3 linked regions of the Alligator mississippiensis genome follow. The protein of the gene in region 2 purifies or fractionates together with the protein of the main gene of each other region. This does not show direct contact. Links are inferred from orthologs where the notes say so. Each region holds a gene or a part of one and is shown on either strand. Other genes may lie near its edges.

What was found.
Region 1: the proteins of PRKAR2B (region 2) and CDK5RAP2 purify together in Homo sapiens (affinity purification with mass spectrometry; 3 studies listed by BioGRID and IntAct, counting the BioPlex papers as one, with this or other methods). This does not show direct contact. The link is inferred for Alligator mississippiensis from reciprocal best matches to the Homo sapiens genes PRKAR2B and CDK5RAP2.
Region 3: the proteins of PRKAR2B (region 2) and AKAP1 purify together in Homo sapiens (affinity purification with mass spectrometry; 3 studies listed by BioGRID and IntAct, counting the BioPlex papers as one, with this or other methods). This does not show direct contact. The link is inferred for Alligator mississippiensis from reciprocal best matches to the Homo sapiens genes PRKAR2B and AKAP1.

Annotation. Positions count from the first base shown.
Region 1 is NC_081835.1:56,638,246-56,645,186, forward strand, and holds the start of CDK5RAP2 (CDK5 regulatory subunit-associated protein 2), read right to left. Parts: upstream 3,011-6,941; 5' UTR 2,796-3,010; coding exon 2,743-2,795; intron 2,654-2,742; coding exon 2,586-2,653; intron 1-2,585. UniProt on the Homo sapiens protein: Potential regulator of CDK5 activity via its interaction with CDK5R1. Negative regulator of centriole disengagement (licensing) which maintains centriole engagement and cohesion. Involved in regulation of mitotic spindle orientation.
Region 2 is NC_081827.1:27,443,715-27,451,209, reverse strand, and holds the start of PRKAR2B (cAMP-dependent protein kinase type II-beta regulatory subunit), read right to left. Parts: upstream 3,075-7,495; coding exon 2,768-3,074; intron 1-2,767. UniProt on the Homo sapiens protein: Regulatory subunit of the cAMP-dependent protein kinases involved in cAMP signaling in cells. Type II regulatory chains mediate membrane association by binding to anchoring proteins, including the MAP2 kinase.
Region 3 is NC_081837.1:6,728,416-6,735,865, reverse strand, and holds the start of AKAP1 (A-kinase anchor protein 1, mitochondrial), read left to right. Parts: upstream 1-4,353; 5' UTR 4,354-4,457; intron 4,458-7,450.

The sequences.
Region 1 (6,941 bases), on a different chromosome or scaffold from region 2:
AGGCTTTGTAGCTAAGTTTTGGTTGCATTAGCTTACCTATGCACACCCCTGGGTCAGACGTCCCAGTTATACCTGTAACACCCATTCAAAGCAGCAGATGCCAAGGGGATTCACCAGTGCAACATTTGCATGCTGGAAAATGAAGCAAAGAAATACCCATAGACAAACAATGGGTAACTCGCTACTAAAAAACGTGCCATTTCCACATAGCCAATTCTGCAAGTCAATATTACAAAGTGCAGCATTTGCATCCAAGGTTTTTCTGCATAAAATCTTAAAAACAACAGGTTGGGCCGGGGGGAATTAGTTCTAGAAAAATGCTTAAAACAAATCAAAACAACACACAAAATGTAGCATCTTAAAATAAATAAACCCAAGGAGAAAAGGTAGAACTCAGAGACCACAGAAAGGACTGAGGTCCTAGATTCAGCCTTGTGGCTACTAAAAGAAAAAATAAGTATCTTCCAACTTGGAATAATTCTACATACACAGTTATATATGCACAACAGTCTGAAAAACCCCTGGAAATGCTCGCTTTTGAGATCTTAAAATCCTGAAGTTGTGATTAATCTAATGAGACATCATTCTTAAAACAACTAAGAGAATACAGCCACAGCTATATTGCCATTCAAGCATGTTTTTCAGAATGTATTTTTGTTTCATAACCTTAATATGCTCCCAGGATAAGTATACATAAATTGCTTTAATAATGGAGCAGCAGTAGCTATTTGAAATTACATCTACAACACACTTTAGTTAACTGCACAAATACACAGTGGCCAGACCAGCCTCCAAATCGCATGGACCAGAAATATGGTCCAAGACGCACACAATTGTTATAACTGTGCAAACAGCACTTCACAAAATAATAGGATACATCCATTTTGCTTCAAAAGCAATGTATCAGGCTATATTTTCTCTAAAACCTGCAATAAGACGAACTTGGCAGCCACCACAAGGTCACAATAAAGCAAAAGATGATAAATTATTGTCCTTGATCAATACAGGGCAGTAAAACTTTATGGAAAGACTTTCTTTTCCCTTTAGAAAGGAACATGGAGCAGGTGCTGACTCAGCCACAACAGAAAGCAAAACTCTCACAACCTAACTAGGCTGCAGCTGGAAAGCCCTGCATGAAACTTTAATGCCATTTTTCTAAAAAAAAAATTACTAAGAGTGAACCATCAATAGTGCTAGTTAGTCCAAGCAGTTCAGAGCCTGGTCCTCAGGATCTTAATGGCAACGGAAACATAAATGTTTTGGACTAATACTAGTATCTGCAGGAGTAGCTCGAGTTTAGAAGGTTTTCTGGCTTTTTAGAAAAGGGATCATCACCATCATCACGTTATCTGTTTGGTAAATAGTGCCTTGTAATCTGAGTGACAATTCCTTGCCACTGGTTATGGTTTTCTACGAGATGCATAACTTCTGCTGATAACAGAGAGCAGGCTGGATTTAAGAAGGCCCCCAAATTGTTACAGAAATAGCAAGTCTTCTCTGCTGCTTCCCAGCCATTGGGGCAGGCCAGAGAAGTAGGCAAACGCACATGTGCACCATAAATAGAGATTTCTTTGCCTAGGAAACAATGTAAAAACCCTCTAACTCGTGAGCATCCAGGTGCTTCATTAAGCTTGCGCCTTTCCTCCCCGCTAGGCTAATGCATTCAGTGGCACTCGGGTGGGTGGGCAGTTTCACTTTCAGAGTCTCCCCAGGTTTGGGTTTCAAACAGAGCACCGAAACAAGTTGCAATTTAGATGAAAAAGAAAAATCAGCGGTCAGCTATGAATGTTAAACCCCTGCTACACATTGCCTACATTGCTCAACCCACTGATGAAAGCATTATAAATGTACACTGGCCAAGCATGCAAGTAATTACCGTGGAAGTCATTGGTGAAACACATTATAAGTGTATACCGGTCACCTATGCAAAGCAATCACCATGCAACTCACTGGTGAAACACGCTATAAGTGTATACCGGTCACCTATGCAAAGCAATCACCACGCAACTCACTGGTGAAACACAAACATACTATACATAACAAGTAATTATTGTGTAATCCACTGATGAACTGTGCAAGCCATGTACACCAGCCACCCATGCAAAGAAACTATTACACAAATCACGGTTGAATCACGCCATAAATGTAGACCAGCCATCCGTGCAACGTAATCGTACAACTGACTGTCAAACCGTGCCATATATGTGCCCCTGCCTCCCGTGCAAAATAATTATCACACACTTCACTGGGGAACCAGGCAATAAACATGCAATACATGCATCGCGCAAAGGCGCCCTCGTGCACATCACTGGTGAATCGCACAATAAACCCGTCGCCCGCACAAAGCATCTGCCACGCCATTCAGTGCCATAAATGCACCCCGGCCACCCGCACAAAGTCATGGTGGCAGGAGATGAAAACAAATGAGGGACCAGTTTTAAAGAGAAGAGCCGACCCGCTGCGGGGTCGCACACAAAGCGCCCGCGCGGGTTTCTATCGCGCGTCAAGTGCACGTGTGTGCGGCAGGGCGGGCCCGCGGGAACCGCGCCAACTTTCCCGGGGGTGTCCGGGCAGCCCCCGCTCACCTGCGCTGCCGGCCGAGCCGGGCCGGGCCGCATCCCCGGGCACGTCGGGCAGGTCGGCCACGTTGACGCTGAGGGAGAAAGAGATGCGGGTCAGCGCGGGCGGCGGGACGCGGCGCCACGCGGGGAGGAGGGGGTGACACCGCGGTTAAGCTCCTACCTGCCGCCCAAGTCCAGGGGCAGCGTAGGGTCGTCCCCCGGCAGCGAGTCCATGGCGGCGGCGGTACCCGGTTATTATTGTGCGAGTTTGGCGGCTCCGCTGGAATTCAAACGGCTGCAGCTGCTTCCGCCATCTTGTGGCCCTGACCGTGAAGCCGTTGAAGCCGCCCCAGGAGGGCCTGGCACCAGGGCACCGTAGACATCTATGGGGAAAGCCGCCATCTTTGCTGAGGGAGCCGCCTGCGGAAGCGCGCGCGGACGCCCTCTTAACTGAGGGCAGACGGGGGTGGACAATGCCAACTGGGCTGTGAGCGGGGTAGGAGTTGAGTGTGGGCAGCTGCCATCTTGAGTGAGGGAAGGAAGGCGGGGAGTCTGAGCAGCCGTCAGTTTGCAATAGAAGCTGGTTAAGAAGGTGCCATCTTTACTAAGGGCATTGTGTTGCGTCGTTAGGACAAGAACATGTGTGTGGGCGCCGCCATCTTTATTTAGGGCCCCGTGGTGCGCAGTTCGGGGAGAAGGTACAGGGCATCTTTGCGGATAAAGTGGATATAATTAGGGGGCTGTGTCAGATCACCAGGCGGTGCCCTCAGGGATCCTCTAGGTCACCAGGGGCTACCAGTTGCCGCAGGCTGTCCCCCCAGTGCCACTCCCTTCCCTTTCCCGTGCCTGATCCACTGCTCTGCTTTCTACTTCCTTCCCTGTCCGCCCTTCCCGATCTGCTGCTCTGCTTTCTGTTTCCTTCCCTGTCCGCCCTTCCCGATCTGCTGCTCTGCTTTCTGTTTCCTTCCCTGTCCGCCCTTCCCGATCTGCTGCTCTGCTTTCTGCTTCCTTCCCGATCTGCTGCTCTGCTTTCTGTTTCCTTCCCTGTCCGCCCTTCCTGATCTGCTGCTCTGCTTTCTGCTTCCTTCCCTGTCCGCCCTTCCCAATCTGCTGCTCTGCTTTCTGCTTCCTTCCCTGTCCGCCCTTTCCGATCTGCTGCTCTGCTTTCTGTTTCCTTCCCTGTCCGCCCTTCCCGATCTGCTGCTCTACTTTCTGCTTCCTTCCCTGTCCGCCCTTCCTGATCTGCTGCTCTGCTTTCTGCTTCCTTCCCCGTGGGCCTTTCCCGATCTGCTGCTCTGCTTTCTGCTCCCTGCTCCCTTTCCATCTGCCAGGTGCAGGGTTTCCAGCTCTGTCTGAATCTATCGCAGGAGGTTTCATCACACGATGCAGAGACATGAATGATTGATCTACTGTACTCAGGAAAACAAATGTATGTTACTATTACTTTTTAAAACTGTAAAAACCCACGGGACTGCAGTATAAATTGGATTTGACATTTAATATCTATTTTAATGAATGCTCTATCATTTATCTCCTGGGTGACTCTCAGCCGTCTCCTGAAGATTATATCTCAATCCTGGAGACTCCAGGGCTGGCAACTCCTAGCCAGGTGCCCTGCACATGGGATGCCTCTGCCACTTGTGGCATAAGTGTGGCAGATTGGCCAGCCCCGGGTTTGGGAATGGTGGCCACATTAGGTTGGCTTAGCAACAGCTGGCCATTTTTTGAGGCTATTGGGTGAATGCCTGCTTCTAAGAGTGGGCGGCACAGGGCCTGACTTTCAAAGGCCTCGAGCACCAAGATTGGCAGAAGTGAATGGAATTGGTGGGGTGCGGGACAGCACCTCTGACCAGCAGAGCCCCAGCTCCCACCCACAGCCCAGCTGCATTGGTTCATCTGGACACACTGCATCTTCCTTGGGTTACGGGCATGGCCATCCACATTGCACTAACCCATGCATTTAACTGCGGGGTCAAGCTTATGCAGGCCTGTGTGTGTGTCAAACAGAGCCTGCCAACAAAAGAAGAATTAGGGCCTGTCCTTTGACTCCCTTGAAATACAGGACATGGGTTTGGAAGGGAATGAATGCAAACAGCATGAAGCCATGGGGAGCCTTTCCCCTGCTCTAACACTACTTCATCTCTGCTTGGGAGCCTGTGAGAAAGTGTATTGTCTGCTCAAATAAAATGTGTAACAGCAGGTGCTCAAGTACTAGTGATCTGGAATATGCATTTACCGATAAATAGGTAGGTAAGCAGGTATGATGGATAGAATTAGTCTCACGATTTAAGTTTCTTGTTATTTTAAAAGCAAAATGTATAATTCAGGGATCTAAAACCAAGAATCCTGTCCATCATAACAAATCAACCTTGAAAATACCACCTGAAATAAGTTTATTAAATGCATAAGCTTGCTCAATGCCGAGATGAAAGCTACAAAAGAATTGGTATTTTGCCAGAGTAGTATACTTAACCATGCAGTGTATTGTTAGATCGAGTTTTATCGCCCTAGGGGTGTTCTCTTTCCTCAATATGTGTGTGCAATTTCCATTACTGCTGCTTTCAAGCAGCTAGGAAATATATACCCTTCAACTGTATTCAGGTAAGAGCCTGTTTTTAAGATGATCCACTCCAGAAACATCCACGCTACATTTCTGCAAATGGATCATTTTATCTTAAAAATAAAGTGACAATCCATTATGAAATGCCATATTTTAACATTATATATAATTTCACCATTGAATGGTATTTGTATCAGCTTGTACAAGGGTAGTATCCCAAACTTGATTTTATTCTAACCCCATACAATATTTCCATGTAAACCGCGTGAAATGCTCTATGTATGCCCAATTCATTTTTTCCTTCGTTAGGAACAACGCATTGACAGCCATGCTGTACGATTTGCGAGTTAGTCACTGGCACAGGCTCACGTCTTAGTTTGGTTTGACATTTAATCTCTAGAATTCAGAGCTGGTGATTGGGTCACACTTTTCAAGATTAAGTCCAGGGGAAACTTCTATCTGAGGCACTTATGTAGGCCTCATCATCATAGTAAATAAAAGTGGCGTCTGGAGGAGGGCAACTGAAACTGGCACTGACCGGGGATGGGGTTGGAGTGCAGGAGGGGCAGAAAAAAATAGCTGTCACAGCAGCCGCATGATCACACCTGCAGCAGCAATGACCAGAAGTCACCACTACCCCCGTGTGTGGCCAATGCCCCAGGCACCTGGCCATTGTTACACCGCTAAGTGAATGCCTCACAGTCTTTAACGAGTTTATGTTCACAACGTGGATGCAGTGTATTTGTCCAGGGTCCCTCAAAGAGTCAGGGGCAGACCTTAGGAGAATGCAGTTAGTTATTTAAAGCCCAGACTGGCATCCTACCTGCTGGACAATCCCTTCTCTCATCTTGGTCCTACCTTTATTAATAATGTTTACATAGCAGTAAGCCATATTTGTTATCTCTATTGGAGACCTAATGTGTCCGAGGATTCCTGTCTTCTATTACGATACAGGCAGGACTGTGTTACTGTATGCCAGTTGCTTTCATTTGTCAGCACCTCCCTTGACTACTTCAGCTGATACCGTGCAGAACAGGTACTTTGGATCCCAAAGCTGGATTGTGTTATTCTTCTATAAGCTTTTCAAAACTTGACTGACATGCTTTTATAGTTTTAATGAATTAGTTGAATCTTTTTGGTAGGATTTAAACATTCTCCTGCAGTGTTTGCAATCTAAATATTGCACCACTAGCTTGACTGATCGTATAGCGAAAGCTGATGACTCGACTTCTATCATCCCAACTAAACGAAGGAGCAAGGCAGGAGTCCCCCCAGGTGTCAACAATGAAAAAATGAATACTTTCAGTTTAATAATATGCAGCATTACCTATAGCATAAGGACAGAGATGATTTCAGTATCTGATAAAGCAAGCTACTGCTTATTAAAGTTTATGCATCTCTAGTTTGTCTGTAAGATACAAATGTACCCCATTTTCTGAGAGAAGGCTGCCTAGGGCCAGTCTACAGGATCAGCCCATGTCTGTTTATTAGACTATTTTCTCCTCTATGTTTGTAGTGCTGGATTACACTTATTCACCATAACCATCTGGACTGTGTCAAGAAGATGCTTACCTCCTCAATGCACAGGCTTGGAATCAGCACCAGTATGTGAGCCTGCCTGTTGTTATTACCTTATCACTCTGGATTCCCGTTTCATCCTGTTACTCCATTTTCTGTAAATGGAATTAATTTCTCTTTCTGAAACACCTAAACGCCAAATACTAGCCTGTAAATTCAGGTGATGCCCTATGTTTCCCAACCAGTGAGTGCCAGTAACTCTGCTGTAGGCTTCTCCTTCCTACCTTGATCTTACCTTTCAT
Region 2 (7,495 bases):
TTCACACACATTTTGCTTTCTAGAGTTATTCTACATATAATTAATAAGCTGACTAAAAGATTTGTTTGACTTTTTTATATGTGAAACTATTTATAGTTGTGTTGATTTTTTTAAGATTACAAAACAGTGACCATGAATAAAGTCTTGATTGCAAATATTCACTATAATTCTTAGAAGGCTTCTTAAAACAACCTGAAAACATTCACACATAACACACATATTCCAATAAATTCATGCTACTTTGCTCTATTTGCCACACTGTAAATGTAACATGCCTGCAGTCTGTTTACCACTGATTAAACAGCCGACTACATTATAAGTTTGATACAAGCTATGTTCAGTATCAAAGAATGATGATATTATTTCAGTTCTTCTTCATTATCATTCTGTGCCAGCTTCCAAGTTCACTAATGGTTTAGGAATTTATGCCAACCTCAAAGATGATGTCATCAGTTTCAAAAGAGTTCAAAACCATCATGTAAATCTGCAGTATGTGACTGATAACTACAAACGCTTCTTAATTACATATGCCAAGTAGCTTCTAGCTGCAAAGTATAGATTGAAAGGATGTTTAATATCATAAGCAAGTTGCATCTAAATTTCACTGGGAAGTTATGAGTGTTATTTAAGTAAGCTAAATTTGTTCTGTTGAGCTTTTTAAATATCTGGCTTTCTTGGAAAAAAAATGCATATAAGGCATTACTTAAAATATTTCACATATATAAAAGCTTGTGCAGTTCAGCTAGCAAACTGCAAGCTTTTGGACATTGCTATGAGATACAGCTGGAACTTGATCTGGAAGGGCGAAATGCTCCAGTGAGCTAATAACGTAGTGCAAGTTCAAGCTGTTCTCAGAAAATCCAGAATGATGAAAATGTTTCCCTTAGTCTTCAACCCCACTTACCAATCAGCCTTTGCTTTTCAGGTTCCCATTACCTAAACAGAGAGCTCTGCACCTTTTCAAAGGCAGCTATGCCTTGTCCCCTTAATACAGAGATGCTCTGTCCCCAATAAATCCTGTCAGCCATACAAAAAGAATACATTTTGAGCTGTGAACAGATAAGTCTGAGCCTGAAATCAGGTGAGGTCCTGCAGCCTTCTTTTGCTGTCCTCACAGCTATGCTCATGCCTTGGGCCCTTGTGCAGGTGATTTAAGCAGGACTTGAAAAATATATTAACCTCTTGCTGTCTACCTCATGGAATTACCTAGGAGCGTGTGTATGTAAAATCCCATATGAATTTAAGGCAGACAAGGTTCTTTGGGATATATTTTATTAGATCGACTCAAATAGTTGGAAAAATTCTTCAAGCTTTCAGACACAAACACCCTTTGTCAGGCTGAGGAAGCATCTGCAGATGATCTGTGTTCTTCCTGGGTGGAGTGGTAAAGCATCCAGAGGCCAGTACGTATTCAAGAAAGCCAGTCAGTGAAAATGGAAATTGAGGTGGTCAGTAGGTGAGAGACAGGTGGGAAGGGCACATTACCTGTGGAGGTACATTTCTCACAAGACAACCAGTCTCTCTCCAATCTCTCAGTTCTAATCCCCAAAGGGAATTTACAAAATACCTTTCATAGACAAGCCTATGAACTTCACTTCATGGATACAAAAAAATCATGGACTAAATATAGACACTGGATTTATGACACATTATAACCTGCCTAACATCTAACTCCCCAGGTAAACCCTCCACTTTTTACCAGCTATTCTCATTCCCTCTCCCTCTCCTGTCTCATCCTTTGACTACAGCTACATTCATTCCCCCTCCACCCCACCTGTGTCTCACCTACCCATCACCTCAATTTACATTTTCACTAACTGCCTTTCTTGCATAGGTACTGGCTGTTTTACCACTCCACCCAAGAAGAAGGAGCACAGACCATCTGCAGATGCTTCCTCAGCCTGACGAAGGGTGTTAGTGCCTGAAAGCTTGCTAAGAAGAATCGTTTCAACTATTTGAGTTTGTCTAATAAAAGATATTGGAGTGACCCAAAGAACCTTGTCTGCCCATCTCCTTAGCCCAACATGGCTACAACCTACACCCCTGAAATATGAATTTAAGCGCACATGCAGTAAGTCCTAGACCTTTAATGCCAGAGGGCTGCAAGTGAGAGAGGAACAGTGGGGTCAAAAGAAAGAAAAAAAAAAAGCCCTGGTCCTACCCAATTCACTCTCCCTTTCCGCATCCACTCTCTGCCACCCTGTGACACAGGGCACCGAGAAGGGGGCCTGACCCAACGGACGGCAATTCTTACATGCTCCGTTCTTATGTCCAGCAGCCACAGAGCACCAGAGCCAATGGATGCACCGCTGCTGCCTGTTCATATATGACAGAAGTAACGGTGCCGGTTTAACTAGCAGGGGAACGCTAGGTATACAAGGCTATAGCTAGAGGTGGAGCGCCAGGTATATAGCAGGGAGCAGAGTGCCAAAAACACCCACCACCTACCTCCCTTTGCAAGATCCTGGCCCGCCAAGGGCAGGTGGCAAGGGAGACACGAAGGGTCCCGTCCTTGTAGTGGCAGCGCAGCCCCAGCCCCCAGAAGCAAAATGCCTTTGTGGGCCCCTGTGCCGGGGGCTGCCTGCCCCTGGGTACAGGGTACCAGGCAGAGGGGTGCTCGGGGCACCCTGGGGTGCAGGCAGTGGTGGAGATCCCAGACCGGTAGGTTTGGCCCCCGGTCCCCGCCGGGCTGCGGCAGGCCCAGAGCAGGGACCCGGCCCGCCCGCCCGCCCGCCGGAGGGAAGCAGGGACCCCGGCCCGACCGTACCCGGGAAGTCGTCCTCGTCGTCGGCGCTCTCGGAGTCGGTCTGCACGGGCTCCTCGGCGAAGTTGACGCCGCGGGCGCTGGCGGCGGCGGCGGGGCCGCGGCGGGGCGCGAGGCCGGCGGCGCGGGCATGGCCGGGCGGGGACCCCCCCGCCTTGCGGCCGCTCTCGGCCGCCGCCTCCGCCTCCGCCTTGAGGCGCCCGAAGTACTGGAGCGCGAAGTCCAGCAGGTCGCCGGGCTGGCTGCGCAGCACCTCCACCGTGAAGCCCTGCAGCAGCTCCGTCAGCCCCGCCGGGATGGAGATGCTCATGCCGGGAGCCCCGAGGGGGTGCGGGGCGGGGCGGGGCGGCGCTGCGGGACCGGCTCCGGGCTCCGGCTCCAGCTGCGACGGCAGCAGCTGCTCGCGCTCCGCGGCCCCGGCACCGACTGAGCATCCCGCCCCGCCCGCCCCGCGGGGGACCTCGCGCGCATGTGACCGCGAAACCATGGCAACCCCCGCGGGGCTGCGGCGGCCCAGCCCGCCCCGCCCCGCCCCCGCCCCGCACAGCGGCCCCGCGCGGCCTGGGAGACCCGCCCCCCGGGGTGCCTCGGGGTGGGCGCCGGCGCAGAGCCCGCAGTCAGCCCCGCGCTGAGGCCCCGCGGCCTTCCAGGAGAAAGGGCCATGGGCCAGTTTCACCCGCCTCCTGCCCTTGTTAGGAGAGCGGGGGACAACGGTGGGACCCCAGAGCTGCGCTGGCACCAGGTGGCTTGCTTGGCAAAGCTCCTGCCCTTGGGTGGAGCTGGTGGACATCTACCAAGGGACTTCTACCAAGGTCCACCTACCAAGCTGGTGGACTTCTACCAAGGTGGTGTACCCGCAGACCCTGCACACCACCCGTGTGCTGGATCCAACCCACAAACTGAGCCTGGCTGTGGGAATTGGCTTGTGAACCAGCTCCATGCCATGCATCCAGCCTGCAGGGCTAGGGACCAGCCCCCAAGCCTGGACCACACCTGTTTAGCTTGCAGCGCAGCACCCGGGAAGGCCCGGGCTCAGGTGTGGGGTTCTTAGCACCAGTGCAAGTGCACGCGCCTGCCAAATGGGGGCCCTTGCTCTCTGCAGGTTGCCTCCTCTTGAATTGCAACAAACCAGGCTGCTATTTCCCTGAAAGGGGGAGAGAGAGAACTGCGCTATTGGTATTGCATCATGTATTAGTGACTTGTATTAATTAACTGGTGACTGCACTTCCTACCCAGTGATGAATCCCACCCAGTGAGCCAAGAACAGTAAACACTGATTAATCTCTTAGAGTGGTGTTACAGTAATAGCCTTAGAATATTCTATATATGTCCATAGCATTTTTCACCTCTCAGTATAAGTCTGAATATTGTGTGATCCCGCAGTATTTGCCCTGAGATACTTTGAGGTTAAATACAGACAGTCAAAAAGCCTGAGGCTGAATCAATTCAATCTTTGCAGCAGAGATGACCTGAGCAGCGTGGGGGCCGAGGCAAATCAGGCTGTGTGGGGCCCACAGATGCAAGGAAGCCAGTGGCGGATTCGGCAGGGATGGGGGGTGCCAAGCAGCTGGACATGAAGCTGGTGGCAGCACAGACTTGCCACGGCTGCTCCGTCCGGCTCTGTGGGGCCTGGGGCGGGCGCACCAATTCACCCACCCCAGCAACGGCCCTGCTTTGCAGATAGTCTAAGCTGTGTAGATTGAACAGATAAGCAAGTGAACAGACATTCACTTTTGATTCTGGAAATGCAGCCACACACACCTGCAGTGGCTCAGGCCAGAAGCCAGGCAGGGGGGCACTAGAGCACAGCTCCCTGTTTGGCAAACAGCTTGGGCCAAACCTAGCTGCCCAGGGAGGTGCAAAGCTTCCTGGGATGCTGGGGGACTGTGAGTTAACTTGAACCTGGAGGAGCTCTGGGACAGAAGTTCAATAAACTGATTTAAGCTAAATCAGTTCAATTTGATACTGCACCCATCCAGGTTTATCTTCAACCAGTTTTGGCCATTTTGAAAGCAGTTTATGTGCACTAAACTTGTGTTGCGCTACAGATCTGAACCAGTTTCCAATCACTTATACCAGTTTATGTTTAAGTTCTGTCCCTAGCCTGAGGGTCTTAATAGCTCCATCCTGATCCAAATACGGATGGTTCTCAACACTGGCATCTGAGTTTTGATGATCTGTGGCACAAAGATTTTAATCTCAAGTGATCACTGGGAGTATTGTGGTCTGTTCCAACCTGAAGTGCTTCTGTCAGTCCACATTTCTAGTGCTTCCAAGCAGGTTGTTCATGTTACATAAGCATCTTGCAAGCAATCTGTCAGAAGCACATCAGTTCCAAATCAAAAAAAAAATTATGATATGGTGCACTGAGAGCTGAAGCACAGTGACAGAGTGGATCAAGTGTCTTACTATGGATCTGCAAGCCAGAGTTTAAACGTCATTTTAGACTCATGCCAAAGGTAACCCCCAGGCAATGCAGATGTAAATCTGTCTGGTAATTGGAGTCAAAGAGCTGAAGGTGGCCAGAAGTGATGCCAATCACATAATCCCTTTGTGTGCCATTGGCTACACAAACTGGTGTGTTTTAATCACATAAACTTGATGAAATATGTAGGTTTTGGACAGGCCTTGCACTGAGGTTCAAGTGGATCCCTGTGTGTCCTAGCATAAAGACTGCTTAACTGCCTTCTTCACTTGTGTGAATGTGACCAAGTGACTATCTATATCCAGGGACATGTAGCAGCTGTTTTGGCAAATTAGGTTCATTATTAATCAAAGACTGAGCACAATCCATGTGGCTTCATATAGTTAGGTTCAGTAATGCTTCTCTATTAAAAAGTCTTATAATATAAATGTGCTACTGGACAATCATTGAAAATTCCTTTAAAAAATTCCAGTCCTGAGAATTTAAATTGTTACCTAAAAGGCCATTTCTGGTAGCAGTGACTCAGCTCATAAAAGTGAGCTTCAGCCCCTAGTGATGGACTCATCTTAGACTTGATTGAAAAGGCTGCAGATTCACCCAAGAATACCTTCCCACGGACGCTAGAGTTCCATACAAATAAATTCATCAACCGGCCAATATCTTGCAGCACTTGCATGCCCATCCTGGGGAAGCCCCGTGTCAAAAGCCCCATGCCATCATTCCCTGAAGCTATATTTGGCATAATCGATCACACTTAGAAATGCCATCCCCCTTCTTGTTTTGTTTTGGACATATTCCTGGGCAATGCTGTTTCCAAAACAACAACACCCCCCCTCCTCCCCCGCAAAAGCAAGTAAAAGTCCATCTGCATTTTCTTTCTTCATGGTCAGGTAAAAGCTCCTGCCAGCACTGATTTTAGTCAGAGGTAAGACCCCCACTACTTCTTGTTTCCACTTCAGGCATTTATAAAGCAGTTACTTTGTTCTCTCTATTTTGGATGGTTTGTGCTCCAGAATTTTGTTTCAAGCAAGGAAAAGCCAAAGTTTCCTATGGCATTGGTGCAGTCTGTGGGCCTAATCCAGCCCACAGGTTGGAGTCATCCAGCTTGTGGGGCTCCTGGAAATTGGGTGACAGTAGCAACACTAATGCAACTAGGGTAGGGTAAGAGGGGCACTAACTCAGGGTGCCAGTATGCCCCATCTCCCTATGAGTCTGTGGCCCTAGGAGCAGGGTAGACACAGCTCTCCTGCCAGTAGTGTATCTGGGGGACAGGAGTGGAATGGATGCCCTTTCCCCAGGAGGCTTTGCCATGGGAGCCACAGCCCTGCACCCAGGGGTTGAGGGAGGTACCTCAGGGAGCCTGCCCTGCTGCCTGTTTTTTCACCACAGCAGCAGCATAAATCCACACTGCGCAGCTCAAGCAGCTGTCACCTGAGGACAGCCATTGCTGCCACCACAACATTTCCAGACCTGTGGGGAACCCCATGGGCCAGATGACATGGCCCTGTGTGCTGGATCACCCTGGTGTGTGAAGTCACTTTATGGCTGGATCCAATGCATGGGGCAAGACCAGCATGCTATATTGTACCCACAGACCCTGTACACTACCCCTATGCTGGATCCAGCCCCCAAACCAAACCTGCCTGTGGGAATTGGCTTGTGAGCCAGCTCCAAGCCACTCATCCAGCCTGCGGGGGCAGGAGGTTGAGCACCTTTGTCCCATGCCACAAATTAAATTTTATTTGAGGATTATTCTCAACTGTCCAAATTTTGCATGAAGTATTTAGTTCTTTTCTCAGATTTCCCTTGCAGATTTGAACATGCAGTCTGGTTGGCCATTTAAGAGCCATCTTAATTTCCTGGTTCTACTTCTTTAAAAAAGCTTCCATTTATGCTGTTATCACTGTCTCTGTTAGTGTTACATATCTTTATTAATGCTGTTATTTGTCTTTCCATAAGATCTACGAGCCCTGAGCACAAGCAGGAGCCCATTGTGCTGGGAACCATACAAAGATGGATGAAAAGACAGTCCCTGCTGTGGATCTAGTCCAACCTCCTGCTCAAAATAGGACCGTCCCCAGCTAGATCATACCAGCCAAGGCTTTGTCTAGCTGGGTCTTAAAAACCTCCAAGGATGGAGATTCCACAACCTCTCTAGGTAACCTGTTCCAGTGCTTTTGCTACTCTCCTAGCAAGAAAGAATTTCCTAATATCTAAGCTAAACTTCCCTTGCTGCAACTTGAGACCATTGCTCCTTGTTCAGTCATCTGCCACCAGTGAGAACAGTTTAGCTCCTTCCTTTTTGG
Region 3 (7,450 bases), on a different chromosome or scaffold from region 2:
TGCACTTTTTTGTAGAAAATGATTAAATCGAGACTTCCTGACCAGTGAATGAAATCATGATTTAAATCATGGTTTAAATTGATTTGACTTAAAGCAAAGCCACCCTGGAAAGAAGCACACATGGAAAGTACTCCAAACTCCTATGTGAGTGCTTGAGAGGGATCCAAGACTGCCCTGCTGGGATTCAAACCGGTGGCCCCAGGGTCCCAGAGTCTGTCAAATTGGATGCTGACTGTATTTAGCCAGCTCCTATTTTGCTGTGAAGCTGTACTGCTTTGCTTGAAAATGTTCAGGCCTCCTCTCTGCTTCCCTAGTCAGCTCATTTCTGCTGTCTCTTAAAGTGCCCGAGCTTTCTTCCTTGCACGCTGCTCCCCTGCAGCGTACCCCAGCTCTCCCTTCTGGGCAGCAGAACAGGCTACAAGTCGTCCAAGTCTCTTTGCAAACCCACAGGCACCTCTTGCCAGGCAGAGACATCCAATAAGTGAAAGCATTTTCTTTTTCGTTGCTCACAGCGTAGCAGCAGCATTGTCATTGGGAAAGCTTTGCTTCCTAGATGCAGTGGCTGTGGCGATAGTGGCTCCTGGAGCTCCAGTTTGAACAGACACCGGCTTGTACCCTGGTCAAAGCCCGTTTAAGCATCACCTTGGTTAAGACTATTAATTGCCAGTGTTTTGCTGGCACTCGTTCTTATTGCTGCTCCCTGCGATGCTGAACCAGTGTTTATGCAACGCTGAGAGGGGCGAAGCAGAACGCTACTGTTGGCACAACGATCTCCATTGCCCAGAAAAAGGCTTCAACTTTGCACAGCCAGAGACCTTGTTACAGAATGATACCACCTGCCCTGCTCACAACTGTCTGGTCTTGCTTGCCCCGGGGAACATCGTCCTTTAACCCCTGCTGCCCGAGCTCCCCGAATTTACGCTGTTATGTTTATCCCCATTTTTCTTGCTGTTCGTAAAGGCTCCAAGACATCTGTTCCTTGACAGTAGTGGGGAATGAATTGCAAGTTTGCACCTTAAAGCATGCCACCTGTGAGAGCGACTCTCACTGCAATGACCCCTTACTTAGCACTGCAGGCTTTCTATGTTATTTAGGAGTGGGGGGCACAAGAACACATCACTTCCAAGCCCCTCCATAAATGCAGGCCATGCACCACATAGAGTCCAAAGCCACCCGTGCCTGGGTGCATGGTTTTATTAACACCGCAATGAACAGCAATCCAACATAAAGTCCCACTCCCAGGCTAGGTTGCTCAACCCCATGCCCTGTGCTCGCTTTCACTTCCAAACCGATAGGCTGCTCAAACTGCTGAATGACTTAGACCTTTGCATCAAATTTCCCCAGCATATGGCACGTCTAGCTTTGCCCATATTCACAAAGAAACGTGACCCTTAGACTCTTTTTATGCTATTAAGGCCTGATCGAATATACCCTTTTTACACAGAGCCATCTAAAGCAGAGGTGGTCCAGCTTTTCAGCAGCTTCTGGCAAAGATCAGTGCTTGTTGGCACAGTGCTACTAAGATCACAACCGGGAGATCCAGTTAATGGCTGCCAGCAACATTTTATTGTTTACGGCTGCTTTCATGACAGAGGGACGCTAAGTGTGATCTCTTCACAGTACGCTGTGGCATTTTTAGAGACATTGGTATCCCTATTTCTATATGACGGCCATGGGAGCTGAGTCAGAGAGCGTGCGATATATCCCAGACCATGCACAGATTAAGACGTTCACTTAGGTTAAGGTGTGAAGGAACCAAAAGGATCGTCGGATCTGCCCTCCTGCATAATGCACAGCAGGAATCCCCCCCAACCAATTCTGTATCAAGCCCATGATTTCTGTTTGAGCTAGAAGAGAGGTGCTCAACCTTTTGGCCCCACAGGCCAGATGAGTGGCGCAGTGCTGGTCCATGGGCTGGATCGAGCCCCACAGGGCCTCGGTTGTCATATGCACGGCGGGATAGGGCCCTGGGGTCTGGTGCTGACCCTGTGCACTGGGATAGGCACCCCCCCTCGTGAACTGGGACCAGGCCCTGGTGGTCCATGCTGCGCCTCCGCGCAAGAGCACAGGGGCACAGTATCATAGAAAAGTTGGGCTGGCAGGGACCTCCAGAGGCCACCTAGTCCAACCCCTGCCTGAGGGAGGCTCATAAACCATCCCGTACAACCATAATCTAAACCAAATAAAATCCCTTAGCTAGCCGAACCTCACCTGCGGGCCATATTTTACCTACCCTGATCTGAACTACATAAGATGACCCTTAACTATTCCACTACACCACTCCTTCCCTGCCACCAAATGTTGGGTTTGTGGAGAGCCCCCGAGGCTGGATGACACCGCACCAGGAGCCGGATCTAGCCTACGGGCTGGGGGCTGAGCACCCCTGAGCTGTAACGTGTCTAAAAGGAGACCGAGCTAGATTTCGAATCCAGGACATACATGCCAGGGCTGTGACCTCCAGCTTGTGCTCAGACCACATTTTTCCCTCTACATTTTCAACATAGCATAATTTTCCTCTCATCTTGAAAGCCTTTGAAAGGTAAAGATGGTTTTGTTGCCCTGGATGTTACCGGTATAAGGGGACATTACTTAATGGAAACAAACTGGCCTGAAGCTAAAAAAAGTAAAATCAACAAACCAACATTACTGCGGTTTAACTCTTAGGTGGTGCTTTACATCCCCTGAACTCAAAAGCACTTGACAGAGGAGTGGGATCTCTACCTTTTTTTCCTACAGAGGAAACTAAAGCAGAGAGAAGTGACTTGCCCGAGGTCAGGCAAGGCAAACCTCGCAGCAGGACCCTGATCTGAGCACTGTTCTGGCGTGATAAGACAGCGAGCCAGGCTGCCTTTTCAGCATAAAACACCACAATCCCCACAGGGCCGTTGTTGGTCGTGATTGTTATTACTATTAAAATGTATTCCAGTCTCAGTCCAAATCCAAGAGCCGATTAAATCCCCAAGCCAAATGAGCAAAGCTCAGTAACGATGTCTATACATATTCACGGATCTTCAACCAGGCCAGGATCCTACATGCAAGTGCCAGACCTACAGGCCTGGGAGCTCAGGGCCCGTTATACTGGATCTTAGACAAAAGGCTAAGCAGCAATCCTCACGTGCCTTTCTCCCTGTGGAAGTCCTTTATAGATGACGGTCGTCGTGTCGCTGCTGTTTCAATACACTCAGTGCCAGGGGGAAATGCCGCCATCCTGTCCCAGTGCAACTTATCACCGCTGGCGGGTTACGAGAGGAAAAGGGAGTGTGCATCCTTCTGCAGTACAGGGCCTGGCCACACCGAGTACTGGCTTGCTGAACATGGATTTTCCTTTGAGGTTTCCCCTACTCCTCCCACGGAGCGTGCCGAGAGCGGGGACGAGAGAGAGACGCTGCAATCCTGACTTCCCCGAGCAGCAGCTTGCAGGCACGCGCAGCCTAACGCTTTGCGCGACGTGCCGAGACGTTGCTGAGCGCTCCTGCAGTAGGGACCAGCTCCGTGTCAGGACCAGAGGGTGACTTGACCGGGTGCGTAGCTCAGTGGTTTTGAACCAGGACGCCTCGAGATCCTTTCCAGCGGGCCGGGGAAAGCCGCGCGATGTCAGCACTGTCACGCGCGTGCAAACCCGATTCATAGGCTTTGCTCTTCTCAGGCAGGAAGAAGTTAAAAGCCAGTTTGAAAACCTATCCGCAAACTGGACAGCGTTCGGTACGGTTTGAGCAGGGCCGACAGAGCCTGGATTTGCTTGTGTGACCCTCCCGTACCCCCCTCTACAGTTACAGTGTTATACGGCTCGCAAGTGTTACAGATACTTGTAACTCTACAGGTCACAGTGTTATAATTGTTACAAACACCTGGAGAGTTACAATACAGGTTACAAGTATTATACAGTTAACCCCGCAATGCATTCAGACCGCCTAACGTTGCCCACGCAAAGTACCGATCGCGCCAGAAAAAGGTGCATCCAGAGCTGGAAAGCGTGCGATAAAAAGGCACGCCTTTCATTCCTGTGTCCACCACCGCAGGTTGCATCCTTACGCCAACCCTCCTGCGGCCCCCGCTGGGGCGTAGATCAAGGGCAAGGTGGGGGTGGGCAAAGGGAGGACATGGAGCACCCCCTTCTCCTGGTAAATGGGGTCGTCTTGCAATCGAGTAAGTGACATTTGCCCTCGCGGGGGGCTGCTGGGGGGGGGGGATGGGGGCACTCCCACCCCGCCAGGAGACGGGCAGTGCGGGGCGCATGCGCACACACTCCCCTCCCCCCCACCCCCAGCTCAGCGGGGGCGGGCCCGAGTCTCGCGCGAGGCGGCGTTCTCGCGAGAGGGGCGGGGCGAGTGGAACCTTGTGCCGCGGGCGAATGTCTCAGAGTTCGGCGGGGCTCGGCCGGGCGGCACGTGGGCACGGAGCGGGGGCGGGGCGCGGCGCGGCGCGGCACGGCACGGGGGAAGAGCACCGCACGGACCGTGAGTACCGCCGCCGGGGCAGGGTTGCGCCGTTTCCCCTCCCCGCTGGCGCTGGGGGCGGTCAAGGTCACGGTCACCCCCCCACACCCATCCCCGTTGCTTTGGCTGCGGGTGCATGAGCTAAGTGAGCCCCCTTGCCCACCCTCTGGGGGGATGGGGCTCCTCCTGGCCCCCCAGACCCGCAGCAAGGCGTGGGGATCCCCCTCCCCAGACTCCCCAAGAAAGGAGCGGGCCCAGGGGTCCCTGGTAGATGCTCAGCCCAGGCAGCGGCGCCGCGTGAGCGCCGCCTCCACGACCGCGTGCGAACGGCTCCTTCGTGGAGGAAACCCTACGCCTGGGCTACAGGCGCCCTTTCGGCGGTGATGCAACCCCACCGAACGCCGGGGCTGCGCGAGTAAAGACTCGCCCGTGTTTGCACGGCGCGGGCAGGACGGCACCCTCTGGGCGCCGACAGGCTGCAAATTAGCTAGCGCCTCTCACGTCCTTGCACCACCTCTGCCTCCCTCGAAGGCTGGCGTAATGCTGGAGGATGTGCAAAGCCGGCTCGGCAACACTCGAGCGGCTTGGCTGCCCGGGGGGAGTTGTTTCGTTCGAGTTGCAAGTTGAACTTCTGTCGGCGGGAGGTAGAGACGCGCGCCGGCTCCGAGTTGAGGGCGTACGATGAGGGGTCTGCGAGATGTGTCCTAAGGGCCTGTCTTTTCGTGGGTGCTTTGCTATCCGATATCCTAAATCACATGTTTCTCTGCTGGCCACGTGTTCAGGAAGACCGCAGGGTGCGAGAGTGATGGCAGCACTGACTTTTCAACGCTGCAAGGGCCAGCCTGGTTTGTTTGGAAGGCGTTGGGCTTGCTGATGTCTGGCCGGTGTTATCAAAAGGCCTGTGGACTTTGCTTCTGGGGAAAGGAAAGGACCTGTTGCTGGGGAAAGTGATAGGAAAAGAGGCTAACTTCACGTCTCCTGTTTGTTTTGTGTCTGTGAATCATCTACTCTGAGCCCTAGCCGCAGGAGCCGGGCGGTGAAATGGGAAGGAGAGAGCATGTGACCTGCTGGAGCATGGTACAGCTGCTCCATGAAGCAGCGTGCCTTGTCCTCTGCGGAGAAGGCGTCTGAGCAGCGCAGGGCTTGGGAGTGGTGATAGCCGCTTGGCTGCTGTGTGACCTTGAGCAAGTCGCTTGCTCTTTGTCCCCTAGCTGAGCCATTTGCATAATGGGCGAAATACCTGTTGGGGCAGCTGCTACACCTCTGCTCTTGGTGCTTTTCAGTCGGTGAACTTAAAGCACTTCAAAGTATTTTTACTTTTTTTTAATGTTACAAGCTCCTCGGGCTCGCATGCAAATTGCCGAAGCGTGGTTGTAATTGCATAACTGACTTGCATTTCGGTACCAACCCAGTGCAAAATTCAGAGCGGGTCCGAAAGATCAAACCCCAGTCTCAGTTCTTTGCTGACTGAACCGCAGTCACGAGCCCCTCCGCTCCTTGCTGTGTATCGAGACTTCCTATCCTGACACCAAAATGCCGGCTCCCCCCTGCTTCCATTTCTGCTGTGGCGTTGCTGAGTGCATTCTTTGCAGTGCTTGTGAAAATCCTCGTGCACCTTTAGTGCTCGCGGGAAGAGCTGGCTCGATGGCCCCGCAGGCTGGGATCTGTCGTCTCCGGTGTGGATAGGAGCAGAGCATGCTGCCTTCTAACCTCTCGGCGTCACCAAGGTTGTAAAGCCACCTCAGTCTCCTGATCGTGTCTGCTCCAGCTGCCAGCGTGCTGGCCGGTTGGCTTGTAAGCTTTTGATCCAGACCTTGTAGCTCGCAGCATGCTCATTCGGCACCTAGCACAACAGGGCTGCGGCCTACCAGTACCGCACACGATCTGGCTGTTGCTCTAGCCAAGACTGGAGTTCAGCTGTGCTGGGTGCTTTGCAAACACCTAGGAAGCATTTTATTTGGGGTTACGGCCCGAGCCCAGCCTCTTTTCTTTAATGTTTTAAGGATTTAAGCTGTGTGTAGGGTGGTGGAGGGAAGTTCAGATGCACGGACTGTAGTGGAGCATAATTGTTTTATTGGTACTAAGTGATGTCCGCGTAGGATTTTACAGGGATACCGATGTTGCAGAATACTTTCAACTCTAGCCCTGTTTTATTCTAGGTTACAGTTGCAGTGATTTGATTTGATTTGTTTTAAGCTCTGTTGTATGGCTGCAAATGCAACAGTTTTATTATCTTAGCTAGTGTGCCCTCTTCTTAAAGCGGTTACGAGTTATTTCTGCTCATAGCCTGAGTGTGAATCTTTGAGAAGTGCTCAAGGCCTCATTGAAATTTGTAGGATTTGGGCACCACAGTGCCTTTTTGGGTCTGACCTTACGACTCGAAGTCACTGAAGTGCTTGAATCCCTTTTGAGAAGGGGGAGTTGGGGGGAAGGTTACCTTCAAGGAGGTCCTTTGAAAGCAGGTACCGCTTAATGGCAGGATTTCTGTGAGAGGAACACAAATGTTGTTTAATGCCACAGCCCTATTTATCTGCAGCTTTCATCCTCCCGGTGCCCTTCCCTGCTGTAAGCCATACACTTATTCGGGTAATTTTGCTGTCTGTGAAGCTCTTGAATAAGCAGATGTGTGTTGCCCTTTGAAATGCTCTTTTCAATCGATAGAAGTAATGAAACACTTAGATGGCTAACAGGGACTCCTTGATTTCCTATTTAAAAACTGATGTCAATGATGAGCTTTTCTCTGTCTTTATATACATACAACCAAGTATCTTGTCAGGAAGCAACTGGTCATTTGAGGTGCCTTTTAAAAAAAACCTAGACACTTTGAGGGCGAGTGCTTGCTATTTCTAAGGAGTTGAAGCGTAATTTTAGGTAATGCATCCAGAATCTGCTCTGCCCCAAAACTGCGAGCTGTCTGACTGTCCAGGCTGGGTTTGTATGTGGGTTTGAATGCTTAAAAAAGGCTTTCTTGTGCTTCATGATGTGGGTTTAACTTTTTTTTTCCCCCTGCTGCC